Lytechinus pictus: one gene and its partner. The protein of the gene in region 2 binds, or shares a complex with, the protein of the main gene of each other region. Links are inferred from orthologs where the notes say so. Each region holds a gene or a part of one and is shown on either strand. Other genes may lie near its edges. The genes, in order: dolichol-phosphate mannosyltransferase subunit 3-like and dolichol-phosphate mannosyltransferase subunit 1-like.

The links.
Region 1: dolichol-phosphate mannosyltransferase subunit 1-like (region 2) and dolichol-phosphate mannosyltransferase subunit 3-like share a complex: the UniProt entries of both Homo sapiens proteins name them as parts of the dolichol-phosphate mannose (DPM) synthase complex. The link is inferred for Lytechinus pictus from reciprocal best matches to the Homo sapiens genes DPM1 and DPM3.

The regions. Positions count from the first base shown.
Region 1 is NC_087247.1:69,059,878-69,067,263, reverse strand, and holds the start of dolichol-phosphate mannosyltransferase subunit 3-like, read right to left. Parts: upstream 3,032-7,386; 5' UTR 2,939-3,031; intron 1-2,938. UniProt on the Homo sapiens protein: Stabilizer subunit of the dolichol-phosphate mannose (DPM) synthase complex; tethers catalytic subunit DPM1 to the endoplasmic reticulum.
Region 2 is NC_087246.1:37,878,962-37,886,515, forward strand, and holds the start of dolichol-phosphate mannosyltransferase subunit 1-like, read right to left. Parts: upstream 3,044-7,554; coding exon 3,003-3,043; intron 1-3,002. UniProt on the Homo sapiens protein: Transfers mannose from GDP-mannose to dolichol monophosphate to form dolichol phosphate mannose (Dol-P-Man) which is the mannosyl donor in pathways leading to N-glycosylation, glycosyl phosphatidylinositol membrane anchoring, and O-mannosylation of proteins; catalytic subunit of the dolichol-phosphate mannose (DPM) synthase complex.

The DNA of each region.
Region 1 (7,386 bases), on a different chromosome or scaffold from region 2:
CGGCGGCATCCGCTATCACCACGAGGTTGAAAATAAAATGTATATCATCATAAACGATGTTAGAGAGAAACGCAGCGAGCTCCGTCGGTAATACGACCTTTCAAAGTTCACGGCGGCATCCGCTATCACCACGAGGTTGAAAATAAAATGTATATCATCATAAACGATGTAAGAGAGTAACGCAGTGAGCTCCGTCGGTAATACGACCTTTCAAAGTTCACGGCGGCATCCGCTATCACCACGAGATTGAAAATAAAATGTATATCATCATAAACGATGTAAGAGAGTAACGCAATAAGCTCCGTCAGTAGCACGATCTTTAAAAGTTCACGGCGGGGTCCGCTATCACCACGAGGTTGAAAATAAAATGTAAATCATCATAAACGATGTAAGAGAGTAACGCAATGAGCTCCGTCAATAGTTCGACCTTTCAAAGTTCACGGCGGCATCCGCTATCACCACGAGGTTGAAGAGAAGATTTATATCATTATAAAGGGGGTAAGAGAGTAGCGCAGTGAGCTCCGTCGGTAATACGACCTTTCAAAGTTCACGGCGGCATCCGCTATCACCACGAGGTTGAAAATAAAATGTATATCATCATAAACGATGTAAGAGAGTAACGCAGTGAGCTCCGTCGGTAATACGACCTTTCAAAGTTCACGGCGGCATCCGCTATCACCACGAGGTTGAAGAGAAGATTTATATCATTATAAAGGGGGTAAGAGAGTAACGCAATGAGCTCCGTCGGTAATACGACCTTTCAAAGTTCACGGCGGCTTCCGCTATCACCACGAGGTTGAAAATAAAATGAATATCATCATAAACGATGTAAGAGAGTAACGCAATAAGCTCCGTCAGTAGCACGATCTTTAAAAGTTCACGGCGGGGTCCGCTATCACCACGAGGTTGAAAATAAAATGTATATCATCATAAACGATGTAAGAGAGTAACGCAATAAGCTCCGTCAGTAGCACGATCTTTAAAAGTTCACGGCGGGGTCCGCTATCACCACGAGGTTGAAAATAAAATGTATATCATCATAAACGATGTAAGAGAGTAACGCAATAAGCTCCGTCAATAGTACAGTCTTTAAAAGTTTCTGGCGGGGTCCGCTATCACCACGAGGTTGAAGAGAAGATTTATATCATTATAAACGATGTAAGAGAGTAGCGCAGTGAGCTCCGTCGGTAATACGACCTTTAAAAGTTCACGGCGGGGTCCGCTATCACCACGAGGTTGAAAATAAAATGTAAATCATCATAAACGATGTAAGAGAGTAACGCAATGAGCTCCGTCAATAGTACGACCTTTCAAAGTTCACGGCGGCATCCGCTATCACCACGAGGTTGAAAATAAAATGTATATCATCATAAACGATGTAAGAGAGTAACGCAATAAGCTCCGTCAATAGTACGACCTTTCAAAGTTCACGGCGGCATCCGCTATCACCACGAGGTTGAAAATAAAATGTATATCATCATAAACGATGTAAGAGAGTAACGCAATAAGCTCCGTCAATAGTACAGTCTTTAAAAGTTTCTGGCGGGGTCCGCTATCACCACGAGGTTGAAGAGAAGATTTATATCATTATAAACGATGTAAGAGAGTAGCGCAGTGAGCTCCGTCGGTAATACGACCTTTAAAAGTTCACGGCGGGGTCCGCTATCACCACGAGGTTGAAAATAAAATGTAAATCATCATAAACGATGTAAGAGAGTAACGCAATGAGCTCCGTCAATAGTACGACCTTTCAAAGTTCACGGCGGCATCCGCTATCACCACGAGGTTGAAAATAAAATGTATATCATCATAAACGATGTAAGAGAGTAACGCAATAAGCTCCGTCAGTAGCACGATCTTTAAAAGTTCACGGCGGGGTCCGCTATCACCACGAGGTTGAAGAGAAGATTTATATCATTATAAAGGGGGTAAGAGAGTAGCGCAGTGAGCTCCGTCGGTAATACGACCTTTCAAAGTTCACGGCGGCATCCGCTATCACCACGAGGTTGAAAATAAAATGTATATCATCATAAACGATGTAAGAGAGTAACGCAGTGAGCTCCGTCGGTAATACGACCTTTCAAAGTTCACGGCGGCATCCGCTATCACCATGAGTTGGAAGAGAAGATATCTATCCCCTTAAACATCGCCATAGATAATACCGCGACTTTCTCCCTGAATAATGCGACCTCTAAATAGCTAGCACCTCAAAAACAATCTTGAAATATGTTCTGAGCGATCACGCACTGTAACCAGATCTACGCCGATTTTTTATTTTCGATTTTTTCCTTCAAGGGGCATGATCGAAGATCGGCAAGTGATTGCCGATTGTGGTGAAATCGAATGGAATCGGTTGCCGATTGCAAAATCGGTTACAAGCTTACTCAAAATGGTGGAAAAATAATGAATTCAGGGCATTTCATGTGACGGCCTCAAAATGCAGCCTTTGTCATCAAAATCCCCGAATAGTGTGCAAAGTGAATGAGTGCGCAGACATGGGGTACCATTTTTTTTTCAATCTGAAATTGAAAATGACTGCCCAAAGGTTTTTCAAGAAAATCTTATATTTTCTTTCATTTTTTAATGAGAAATTTGGTACACTTAATAATATAAGGAACACTATTAACCAAAAGATTTTGTGAAATAAGAAGAAATTCATGTTAAATCTTAACTCAAATTGTTAGGTGCGCAGACTTGGGGCCCACCATCATACTGTCTAAGTTAGGCAGACATGGTCATGGCCATGGGTATTCTTCAAAATTGGGTAACTTAGATTTAGAACTAACACCATTCCTAACGCGTGGGTCAAAGTAATAAATAAGAGATCATCAAGCGATTCAAGTCCTCTTTTTTATAATCGGTACCGTAAAATTAATCAAAATATGACTATCATCTAGTATACCCATGTAAGTTCTAAAAAATAATTCGAAACAAGTACCGTAGATCATGTAGATTGGTTTCCTCGGTCCAACTAGTCAAGTCCTAACGTTACGTACGTGTTCCCGCAAAGAGTTAGATCCACGTCAAATATAGGGGTGTGGATGAGAAATGCCGCATCCTGCTTGTATTAATAGTCGATAAACTGCTTTTCTCAGATAAACGCTCCCCTCCCCCTAAAAAATCAATAATTTTATTACTTTCTTGCGAGGAAAGAGGTTTTAAGAATTTGAAGTTTATCCGTTGATAGAGTACAATTTGAAAAAGTTCATTATCACTGATAAAAAACACTAATTTGATGTCAATCATTATTTATAGCTCTACCTATACAGTGCGTATAAAAAAAACAGGACAGTTTTGAATTAAGTCTATAAAAAAATTGTTTCAAATTATGTTATCTATATTTTGATGTTAATAGATGCTATGAGATCTTATCTTTGAAATGCCATTAAAAAAAAAAAAATTGTTCATGCTTGAGCGAACACGGGACGTTTTTGTCGGGGGTTGGGCATGCGCCCAAATGGCAGAAATTAGAAATTTGATGATTAAACTTTTGGCTAATCAGCAGACTTCCTCTATAATCTTTTCATTATCTTTGCCATAATTTTCGAATTATGCTGTCAAATTTCATTTACAAATTTATTTATTTACCTGAATTATTTTGTTTTTCATTTAAACTTCTTTTACTTTTGAATTTTCCTAAAAGGGGAATCCAACCCAAATAAAACTTGTTTTTATAAGAAAAAGAAAAATCAGACAAGTTGATAGCTATTTAAACGATATTGGACAAAGAACAAGAAAGTTATGAATTTTTAAAAGTTGTAAATATTGGTATATAATCACTATACCCATGGAGACTTCAAATTGGCCGCATATGGGATGTCACAATGATGTAAGGCAAGGACTACTCTTCCATGTACTCCAATATATGGCTAAAATGTCATTTTTTCCAAAGGTTTTATTTCAAGTTATATTTTTCTTTCATGAGGACATAAAACAATATACTACCTGGATTATATTTAGATTACTGCCCCATGGGAACGGGTACTTAGGAGAAAACCACAAATCCCTGATAATAAAGTACATGGCCTATATGGGAAAGTTGCCCTTGCCCCCCTTGTCATAATTTACTTACTCAATTGCCAATTTGAAATCTACATACTATTAGTGATCTCAATCTTAAAGCAGCTATCACTTTCTTATTGCTTGTCCGATTTCTTTCAAGCTTTCACCATTCTGTTTAAATTATTTTTCTCCTTCCCAATTAACACAACATTTTATGGCCAAGGCTGGATTCCCCTTTAAGTAAGAAAAGAAGACTTTTTGTCAACCCAGCTAAGATTTGCATTATTAATTGGGAGAATTTGTAATTATTCAAATCCTTTTATTATGTGAAACAAATTATGTTCTGTTATATACCTATAAAAGAATCCTATTTTCAAGGGGTTATTGAATCCTTCATCAATTCAAGTTTAATTATGTGCTTGACAAATGCAGGACAAACAGGAAAGGATTTACGTCTTTCAATGGCAATATGATGTATTGAGTCAATTTTGAAGGAGCAATTATGGCAGATCGAGAAAAATGTATTAAAACGTTGTGAAGCGAGCAAGCAAAAATTTCAATTTTTTAATTAAAATATCAAATTTTGTGATTTTGACATGATATTCAGAAAACGATATCATATTTCACTTTCTATGTTTTCTGTTATTTTCCTATCCACTTTTGTTTTCTTGGTAATGATTTTTTTATTTGGGGGCGCCCCAAGCCCCCACCCATCAGTATGCCACTGTTCAAAGGCACCGTAACCTTTGTAGCACACATTGAATGATTTTGAAAAAAAAACCACGCCCTCCCATACTTCGGTTTAAAAAAAATGTTCTTGCCTAAAGAAGGAATATTCAAAGCTAAAAGAGAACATATTAAAAAGGAACGACAGAACTATTCAAGCAAATAAGTAGATTTGGAAATGAATTTTGACCTCATAATTCGAAGATTATGGCAAAGATAATGAAAAGGTTAAGAGGAAGTCTGTTGATTAGCAAAAAGTCCGACCATCATATTTTTCATTTCATGCCATTTTGGCGCAAGCCTCATTTTTAACCCCAGACAAAAACATTCCGTGCTCGCTCAAGCATGAACAAAACTAAAATATTTTAATGGCATTTGAAGGATAAGACTTCAGAGCACCAATTGACACCAAAATGTAGAGATCATATAAAACAAAAATTGTATAGACTTTTAAAATCTGTCCCGTTTTTTTTTATACGCACTGTATAGCTGAGAGTTATCTAAAAAAAAATGACATTAATAACAGTGATATACAGAGCAATATGCAGTGAAATGAGAAACACACATTCAGGCATAGGTGGATCCAGGGGCCCCACTCCCCTATTGGCGGAGCAAAAAAAATGAAAAAAGGGGAAAGAAAAAAAGAACTTATAAAGAACTTAGGGGAAAGAGGAGAAAAAAAAGGATGGGAAACATATTATACAAGGAGGGAGACGAGTGAATAAAATAAGATGAGGGGAAGAAAATAATTTTAAAAATCTTTTAAAAATCTTTCATGTCACTATATAATTTTTTTGCTCGCGTTCGCATTGCCTTCAGGTGATTTACATAGCTTGCTCAATATATGGAGCTTAAACAGCGGCGTAACAGGGGTCGGTGGCCAGGGGGGGCAAGAGCCAAAAATTTCCCGTACCTACTAATTATGAACAGGTGTAATGGTGTAGTGAGGCGACTATTTTTGAGAAGGCCAGATATTGCGTATTGGCAGAATTTATCTTTAAAAAAAGTTGCAAGCGAGGGAAGCGAGCGAGCAAAAATTTTGACCTCCAATTTTGTGATAGATTTTGACATATCCAGATAATGATATATTTCACTGTTCTCTCTTTAGCCCGGGGGGGCCACTTACATTGACGAGTGGATACCATGCGCGACCAAAAAAACACGTAAAAAGGATGTCTTTTTCACGATAGGGCACGTTATGTACGTAACGTGATAAGGGTGTCAAAAACACAAAAATAATGAAAAAAGGGTATCTATTTCGCTAAGAAAATTACGTGTTTAGGGTCAAATTTGCGGGGATGATAAAACAAAATTAAAATGTTTTATAAAGGATGTCCTTTTTGCCCCAACACTTCGTGTTTAGAGTCCGATTTGCGCGAGGTGTAGAAGGTGGGGTCGTACTAAACCAAATAAGGTAAAGCCGAAGACCGAAGGACCCGTAACAATAAAACATTCCTGTACTTGTTTAGGGGTTCATTTCAGGAAATATTTGCCAAGAGTATCGTTTTATTTCCAATACTTGTTAAGGGTAGGGTTTTAGACGCTAATACTTGTTAAGGGGTGCATTTTCAGAATATGGAAATTACGTGTTTAGGGTGCTTTTCGAGACGCACTATCCACTCGTGAATGGAAGTGGCCCCCCCCCCCCCCCGGGCTCTTTAGATTCCCTTTTTTTGTGGTCTGTACGCCACTGTGAACAAGATTCGTTGCGGCAGTAGCGTGAAGAGTAAAAAAAAAACGAGGGGCGCAGTATAGCACATGTGCTAAAAAGCTGCTTTACATAAGTCCCGAGCGAGCGAAGCGATCGAGAAAAAAAAATCACCTTTTCATGGAAATCTAACTTTGAGCTATTTTTTACATTATATTCAGTAAATAAAATCATATCCTACACTTTTCCTTCGCTTTTCTTTCCTCTTTTTTTTTGCTCTTGTTTGTAGAACTTTTTGGGGCCATGGCCCAACCCTTCGATACGCAGTGCTGTGCGGTTGGGGTCCGGGATGGAGCCCCCGAAACTTCTTGATATTATATCAAAGCCATTTAAACCTAGCAGATTGCCACTATTTTAATCAAATCGCGGGCATAAACAGAATAGCGCTTTTACAAAACACTTTTATTCAACTCAGTTGCGTAATGAACCAAATATTTTGAGGGGGCAAAACATAGCAATGTGGGAAAATTTTGTAAAAAGTCGCCAGCGTGCAAAGCGAGCTGGAAAAAAAAATTGCCTTTTGAAATTAAATTCTAATTATGTGATATATTTTTCTATCATATTCAGCAAATAACACATTTCATTGGTTCCATTCATTTCATTATACGTTAATTGTCTCCTATAATTTCTTTTATTTCCTTTTGGGTGTGGAACCAAGACCCCCCCCCCCCCCTCCCCGCGCCTGTATGCCAGTGATTGAACGTGATTGAACGGGGGCGTTATAGAATCATTTGAAGGTTATAATGAAGAGCCTATACTGCGCGGGGTCTGGGGCAAAGCCCCGGTAACTTATTTGCATAAATTTGTAGCAAGCTTATAGCATAATGTTGTATGCAGTCCATCTTTCTTCCCGCTCTTTAATTTCAATCATCGGCAGCCCGGTCGTGTTATTATTTTTTATTCTTGTCCCTTTTTTTTTGTTTTCCAATTTAGCTTTTGATTAATTACAT
Region 2 (7,554 bases):
ATATGGACATTTAACACATTACAAATTATATCTCAAAGCCTTATTTTTACCTGAAATTGGGTGACATATTGTATGATTGCAGTTTGCAAACTGTGAAAAACCCTCAGAATTTTACAAATCTTAAATCAACATTACCACAAACTTCCTCATTACAAAAAAATGATTCAATATTAGTTTGTGGGAATATATACATGTTATGTGTCAGTTAAAGTCACATGTGGCCAGTCCAGTAATTTCAAGTTATATTTAAAAAAATATTGCTACATTTATTTTTGCTGTCCCCATGAAAATTAGCAATGGGTCTGCTCATATATTTACCGACCAGGGCTCCGTAACACAAGGGTTTGCGATGAATTGCAAATATGAAAAAGCCGCACTGATTGGCTCCCGGTCAGTATTTTAAACAGAGTGCGCATGTAACGATGATCTTGATTGGTCATTGGTATTTAGCGATTTGCAAACCTTTGTGTTACGGAGCACAGATGTGCCGGGAGCAGTGAAAAGTAGACATTACAATAGCATATTCCCTTTTGTAACTGGTCAGTACGTTTGTAAATACGCAGGAATCTTGTCTTAACATCGGACAGTAAAAAATCCAATGAAGCAGATGCCTGACATATTTTATCCTCGTGGCATCAAACTGGCTTTAAAGGGATGATGGTTCTTCATCTCTTAAAAACTTCTTGGAAAAATAAAGTCAACTACAAATTTATAGCACGAAAGGTACCACACATTCAAAATGAAAATATAGACTCTTCAGTGTGTATCAAAAAAAAAGTTTACACTTAGAAAAACCCTGTAAACTTATATATAAGTAATAAATATCCTGAAGATTTTCCACATTTTAACATTGGTACAGATCCATTTAATAAGCGAATGAAATAACCGTTGAAAAGTATTTCCGCTTGAGAGAGCACCACTTACTTTTGAAAAGTTAGTGAAAAACGATTTGTGTGGAACTTTGAAATAGTTATGGTCGCATTTCATAAGTCGGGTATGCAAAAAGGGTGGCGTATGAACAATTTTCCACACGGTGCCATGGATAAATTGTTGCTACATCACAGCCCCATGGCCAAATTTGTTGTGTAAGGTCTCATTTTGAAGCTAGAACTATAGGCTTAATATATTACTATGAATTAGATCAATACAATATCAGGAACAAAAACTATAGCACATTAAGTTTGAAGTAATAGGGGTGGCGGAGCCGGTGGATGTGGTGAATGATAGAATATTAATTAAACCTAATTAACAACTTACTATAATATGTAATATGACTGTTATCCTCATATTTCTGGGCATTTTAAAGCAGGGAACTAAATGTCAAAAAAAAATTGACAATTTTGAAAATATGCAGCAATGAAATACATAAGTATGTCAGCTCTGATCTGCAACCTAATCAATTAGTAAACCAGAGAAATTTGATTAATTAACTAATTTGTAATCTTAATTTTTAGTACAAATGTTGTGTATCATTGCAACAAACATTTCTACCCATGATGTCATTTTGCCAAGCATATAAATACAGTGACAGGTATTTTGGGGGCAAAAATGTGAAATTAAATACTGTTAATTAATTAGTATAATAAATATGCATACAATAATAGATAATTATTTGATTTTGGTACAGATTTAATTATTGATGTTTTTCAAGATTATAACTGCAAAATACTAGGGTGATCCAATGTTGCATTAACTTTTGACACTATTTTCTGTGCAGCAGGTCCAATTTGAGAAATACACATTTCAAAATTCACATTTACATTGACGTCTATGTAATAATTAGCTGTTAATTAGTCATTTTAAGGAAAAATAAAGGTATTCGAGACTTAAAACCTTTTCATTATTTAGAGAATAGTAATAGCTACAACATATCAAAAAATAAAATTTTGACCATTTTTACCCTGTTCGCGAAATTGGACCACCTTATGACATGCGACCATATATATGAATAAAAGTAGAACTTAATCATGAAGAACACATGGAATTTAGCTAGTAAAATTGATTTGAAAATATCTTTTACCTTTTTTCACTTGTTTCCTTGCCCAAAACACTTTGAAGAGTGCCATTGCACCCCATCCCACTCCCCCACACACCGAGGCCATCGTGACGATCTTTGCTTTACACTGAGCTGTGATTTATATGAAATGGCTTAGGCGTGATTCTCATTTTGTTAATCATTGTCAAACTTGGGAAAACTGTGGAGAAACAAGTATTAATTGAAAAATGAAATGTAAACCCACTTTAAATGATAAAAACTTGGTGACAAATGCTGGAGATGTCTGATATAAACTTTTGTTTAGATTCAGTTATGTCCTCAGATCCAGCTGGCACAAAAAGTGTAAAGGCTGTACTTACTAAGTGTTAAAATTTTAATTTGGATGGCAAAATTGAAATGCTTGAATGTATCTGTTTTATTTCAATTGAGTAAAGTGCAAGGGAAATGTATGAGAAATGTTTCGCAGGGTAAGTTTGATTTCGCCTGTTACCCATGACACAGCGTGAAAACAAGAATTTCTGCGAGCTTTATAAAAATGGAAAGTGCTCACTCAAGTGTTACACTCTGTCAAAACTTTTACTTTCATTGGATAGATGAGACCCAAACCCAAGAATATATGTGAAAAAAATACACACATGCCATATATTTTTTAATTCCCAGGGCTTTTGCAAAGAGTATAAACTTTTTTTTTGATACGTACTGTATAAAAACACACTAACCAAACTAATTCGCTTTGAAAAGATAAATTATTTTATTGTTTCCCCAAAGTTTAAAACTAAAATGCATAACATGTGGAAAGTGAACAAGCAATGAACCTGGTAAATAATAGATCAGATGTAACTTATTGAGGTACCAATGTCACGTGCTGGTCTAGACCGGAAATCCAAGACCAGATGGCTCAAGACCAAAACCAAGATGAAACGTAACTGGTCTTGAGACCAAGACCAATCTTGAGAGTCGAGATCTTCAACAAGGATTTCTTTTTTGAAGAAACATATTTTCTCACATTTCAAGCTTGGCTTTCATGAGGAGCACGGTACAGACCATGCGTTAATCTCTTTTGTTTAAAATGTTCTCCATCATTCGATTGATCGTCCCACACTGTAGGTATTGTCCTGGACTTCTCCAATGCTTTAGTATGACCCTCTCAACCATGACATTTTACTTCTCAGACTGTTTCACCATGGTGTGCGTGAGAAGGCCTTGAAGTAGATAAGAAGTTATCTGTATTATCTCTTAAACAGGAAGCCAAGGGCTAGTCCAATTTCACTGGCTGCCAGTCTAGCTCATCTGTTGATCTCGGCAGACTTCAGTGGCCCTTCAAACGCTTTCTCTGAGGTACAAAACTCCTCCTCTTTGCTGCAGATGGAGCATCGTAGGACCAGTGTGCAAAGCAGCTCCTCCCTCTTTGACAAATCTTCCAAAGGAATCAGGTGCCCTGTAAAGTCAGGAAATATCATAATAATAATAATAGGCATTTATATAGCGCCATCTATCTAGAAATAATCTATTCCGAGGCGCATTGTTTATCATTATTATTACCCCGGCTTTAGCTTGAGCTGCCTCTCAGCGCTCAGTGCATTCAAGGAATTAATCCTGCCGGGTACCCATTCACTTCACCTTGGTTGAGTGCAGCACAATGCGGATAAATTTCTTGCTGAAGGAAATTACGCTATGGCTGGGATTCGAACCCACGACCCTCTGTTTCAAAGTCAGAAGACTAATCCACTGGGCCACAACGCTCCACATCAAGTATTATTGAATAGCCAATCAATTAAAGGTCAAGTCCACCCCAGAAAAGTGTTGATTTGAATCAATAGAGAAAAATCTAACAAGCACAAAAATGAAAATTTCATCCAAATCAGATGTAAAATAAGAAAGTTACATGACATTTTGAAGTTTCACTAATTTTTCACAAACTAGTTATATGCACCAAATGAGATAGTTGATGATGTCCCTCACTCGCTATTTCTTTGTTTTTATTGTTTGAAATTGCAATATTTACAAATTTGACAATAAGGACAAACTTGACTGAACCATAGAATATTAAAATGACGTTAATTCCACATATTTAGGGAGGAAACTACATTCACATGACAGTGAGGAGAAAATTAAATATTTTATATAATAAAATACAAAAGAAATAGTGAGTGATGTCATCAGTTCCCTCATAAAAAGTCATATATTTGCATACCGACTGGGATGTCATGTGCGTATTAACTATTTTGTGAACATAAGCGAAACTTAAAACATAATATAACTGTCTTATTTTACATTCGATTTAGATAAAATTTTCAGTGTTGTGCTTGTTGGATTTTTCTCTTTTTATTATTCAAATCAACATTTTGTTAGGGTGGACTTGTACTTTATCTACAAAATATAGAATCCATTTCAGAGCAATATTATCTTGATTATCAAGCAAGAGATTGATTATTGCAAATTTGCAATCCATTTTTACGATGGGGGAATTGTAACTAAGATGGTCTTTTATTCATTATATTTTCATTTTTTTGCACACATAGACAGAGCCAGGCAGATCTCGATCTAACTAAGATTTAGATATTCATGAAGATATTTAGGTTTAAGGGCATAAGCCATAATAAGTGCATTTTAAAATGGGTATTGATCTACATGACCTACATTTATAAAGAGTAAAGTATCAAAAATAAGCAATAAGAAGTACAAACCTCCTTGGCACACATGAGTCCTTTGTAAAGCAGATGCAAGCCGTTTCCCACTGACCAGGTAAAAACCATCAAGATCCCTACGTAAATCTTGGCATGTGGGACCACTTTGTTGTAGATCGGGGCTCTCCATGGTTTTGTTGAGGGATAGCTTTCTTTCTAATACTGGTGTTGCTTCTTGTACCTCCTCTTCTCCATTTTTCAGCTTCTTCATGACATGGTATGGTGTTCCTCTAAAGAAATTCCTCTTTTTTTATGTATTTTGGGGTTTTGCGAGGCATTTTGAGTCAAGTGTTTACACAGCCAGAGGGCACATGAGTTTATTATGTCCCTCACTCCCTCTAGATGGCAGTATATTAGCATGCATGTATGTCTAAAACTAGTCTAGGAATTCAGACCTTGTTCTCTTCATTTTGATAGGTTTTGGTTTACAATTTTATGTTTAATGGATTTTCAATGAAAACTAGAATGTTAATTCGTCATGAGGACGAATTAAGTGATCTGTCCCTGATTCTCATAATCACAAATACAATCAACACGTTTATTCAGATCAATATGATCATCATGATGAAAACTGAACTTTTATAATGGAACTTAGAACTTGTTGAATACTCTTGAAAAGGGAGAAATGATAAGGTTGTGTGAAAAGGTATAGGTAATACACATAAATAAAAAAATAAAAATTTTAATCTCTTTTATTGTGCAATATTTAGGTGGTCAGTCTATGACAGATCACCTCTTGATTTCGTTAGAATTTTCTTTATTTTTATATATTTATTTTTTTATAGCCAATTCTTGTTGCCAAGTTTTCTCTAAATTGGCTCTATCAATTTTACTGAATTTCATGTCATTTATAAAGTCTATCTTAGAGATGCCATAATAAGCTTTTCAAGGTCATCTGGTCATGATGACGTCATCTAGGCGCCATTTTGTAAAATTCTTTATTTGATCATCCCAATCCCTCGCCAAAAGCATCGCAAATTAATGCAAGCTTGAACTGTTCATTAAAACTGTTTTTTTATGGAAAGGCCATCTAAGTGATCAATATCAAATAAAAAATAAATAAAAACTCACCGATTTCTCTACGTTAAGCTCATCCATTTGTCTCGATTACGTCTATGGTGTTCAACAGTGACAAATCGAAAAAAGAAAAAAGATCTCACGAAACCAAGAGGCTCATCAACCCGTTTGGACAAAATATTGCTCATTCCATTCCATTCCTTGTTTTTATTTGGCAATAATGCTCATAATGCATTCTGGATAGCCTCAATCAAGACAAATTCGCAATTTTGTTTCATATCGATAAAACCTTCACCCTTCACCCATATTAATCCAGGGCGGTAAAAAACGGGGGTTTGCAAAAGTGATATCATGATGAAAATGAACATTCAACAACAATATGAACAATAAATGAAAAACAAAAATAATAATAGAAATAACAATGATAGTATGAAACAAAAAGAGACTGATTGAGAGAAGAAGCAAAACCAATAAAAAAAGCATATTTCCTTTCACCATATATGACAAGATACATTTCATTATAGAATAAACTACGCTGATGGTGCTACAACAATTATTCTTGTGTATAAAAATAGAGAAAAAACTATTGAGTGTCAGTGGAGAAAGAGACTACTATCGTTGTGGTAAGAAGCATTTTATCCAGCTCTGTAGAGGTCTGTGGTGTGGTTGTGGTGCCGTGAGGCTAATTACAACAGAAGGCAAAAGCTATTTGTTCGACCCAACCCATTCAATTTTTTTTCAATTTGATAAATTGCTGATTGACACAAGTGTATGAATATGATTGAAAATCTAACAATGATTCTAGAAATTATGGTAACTACTTAACTGCCTTTGCCCAAATTGGGAAGATGTATCAATGACTTGGAACTATTTTTTGACTGGCGGAAGAATTAGGGCTATTTTACTGTTTCAGTTGATGAATTTGATCCCATCATACATGTAGTTATCTTCATAAATGGCAAATTTCAAATTTCACTTTTCATCTATACTTGTAAACCAAAAACAAAAATTGTATAACACATCTACAACTACTAACAGGTATAAAAACCAGGAATTTACTTTTAGCCCAGCAGTGCTAAAATAAAACCCATGAAACTAAACAAGTGGAACGCCTCTGGCAGTCTCGCCTGCATTACGCAATTTAATATAGCAGCAGTGCTAACTTTGAAAACTACTATAAAATAATTATTCACAAAAACATCATTCATATAATGACATAATACCACGTTCATTGACCATAAATGACATTTGAACAGAGACTTAAGACTGTCAACTACTCCCATGTCCACATTTCATTCACTCTATCCATAAACTTTCAAAGTTATGATGGCACTTCAACAATTACCCCAACATGGCCTAAGTTTATTGACCTTAACTGACCTTTGACTTGGTTTTGTGACCTGAAACTCACAGGGGATGTTCAGTGATGCTTGATTACTCTTATATCCCAAGTTTTATGAACTAGATCCATAAACTTTCAGAGTTAGGATGGTGATTCAACAAATACCCCAACACGGCCAAAGTTCATTGACCTTTAATGACCTTTGACCATGGTCATGTGACCTGAAACTCGTACAGGATGTTCAGTGATACTTGATTACTCTTATGTCCAAGTTTTATGAACTAGATCCATAAACTTTCAGAGTTAGGATGGTAATTTAACAAATACCCCCAACACGGCCAAAGTTCATTGACCTTAAATGACCATTGACCATGGTCATGTGACCTGAAACTCGCACAGGATATTCAGTGGTACTTAATTAACCTAATGTCCAAGTTTCATGAACTAGATCCATACATTTTCTAAGTTATGATGGTAATTCAACAAATACCCCCAACTTGGCCAAAGTTCAT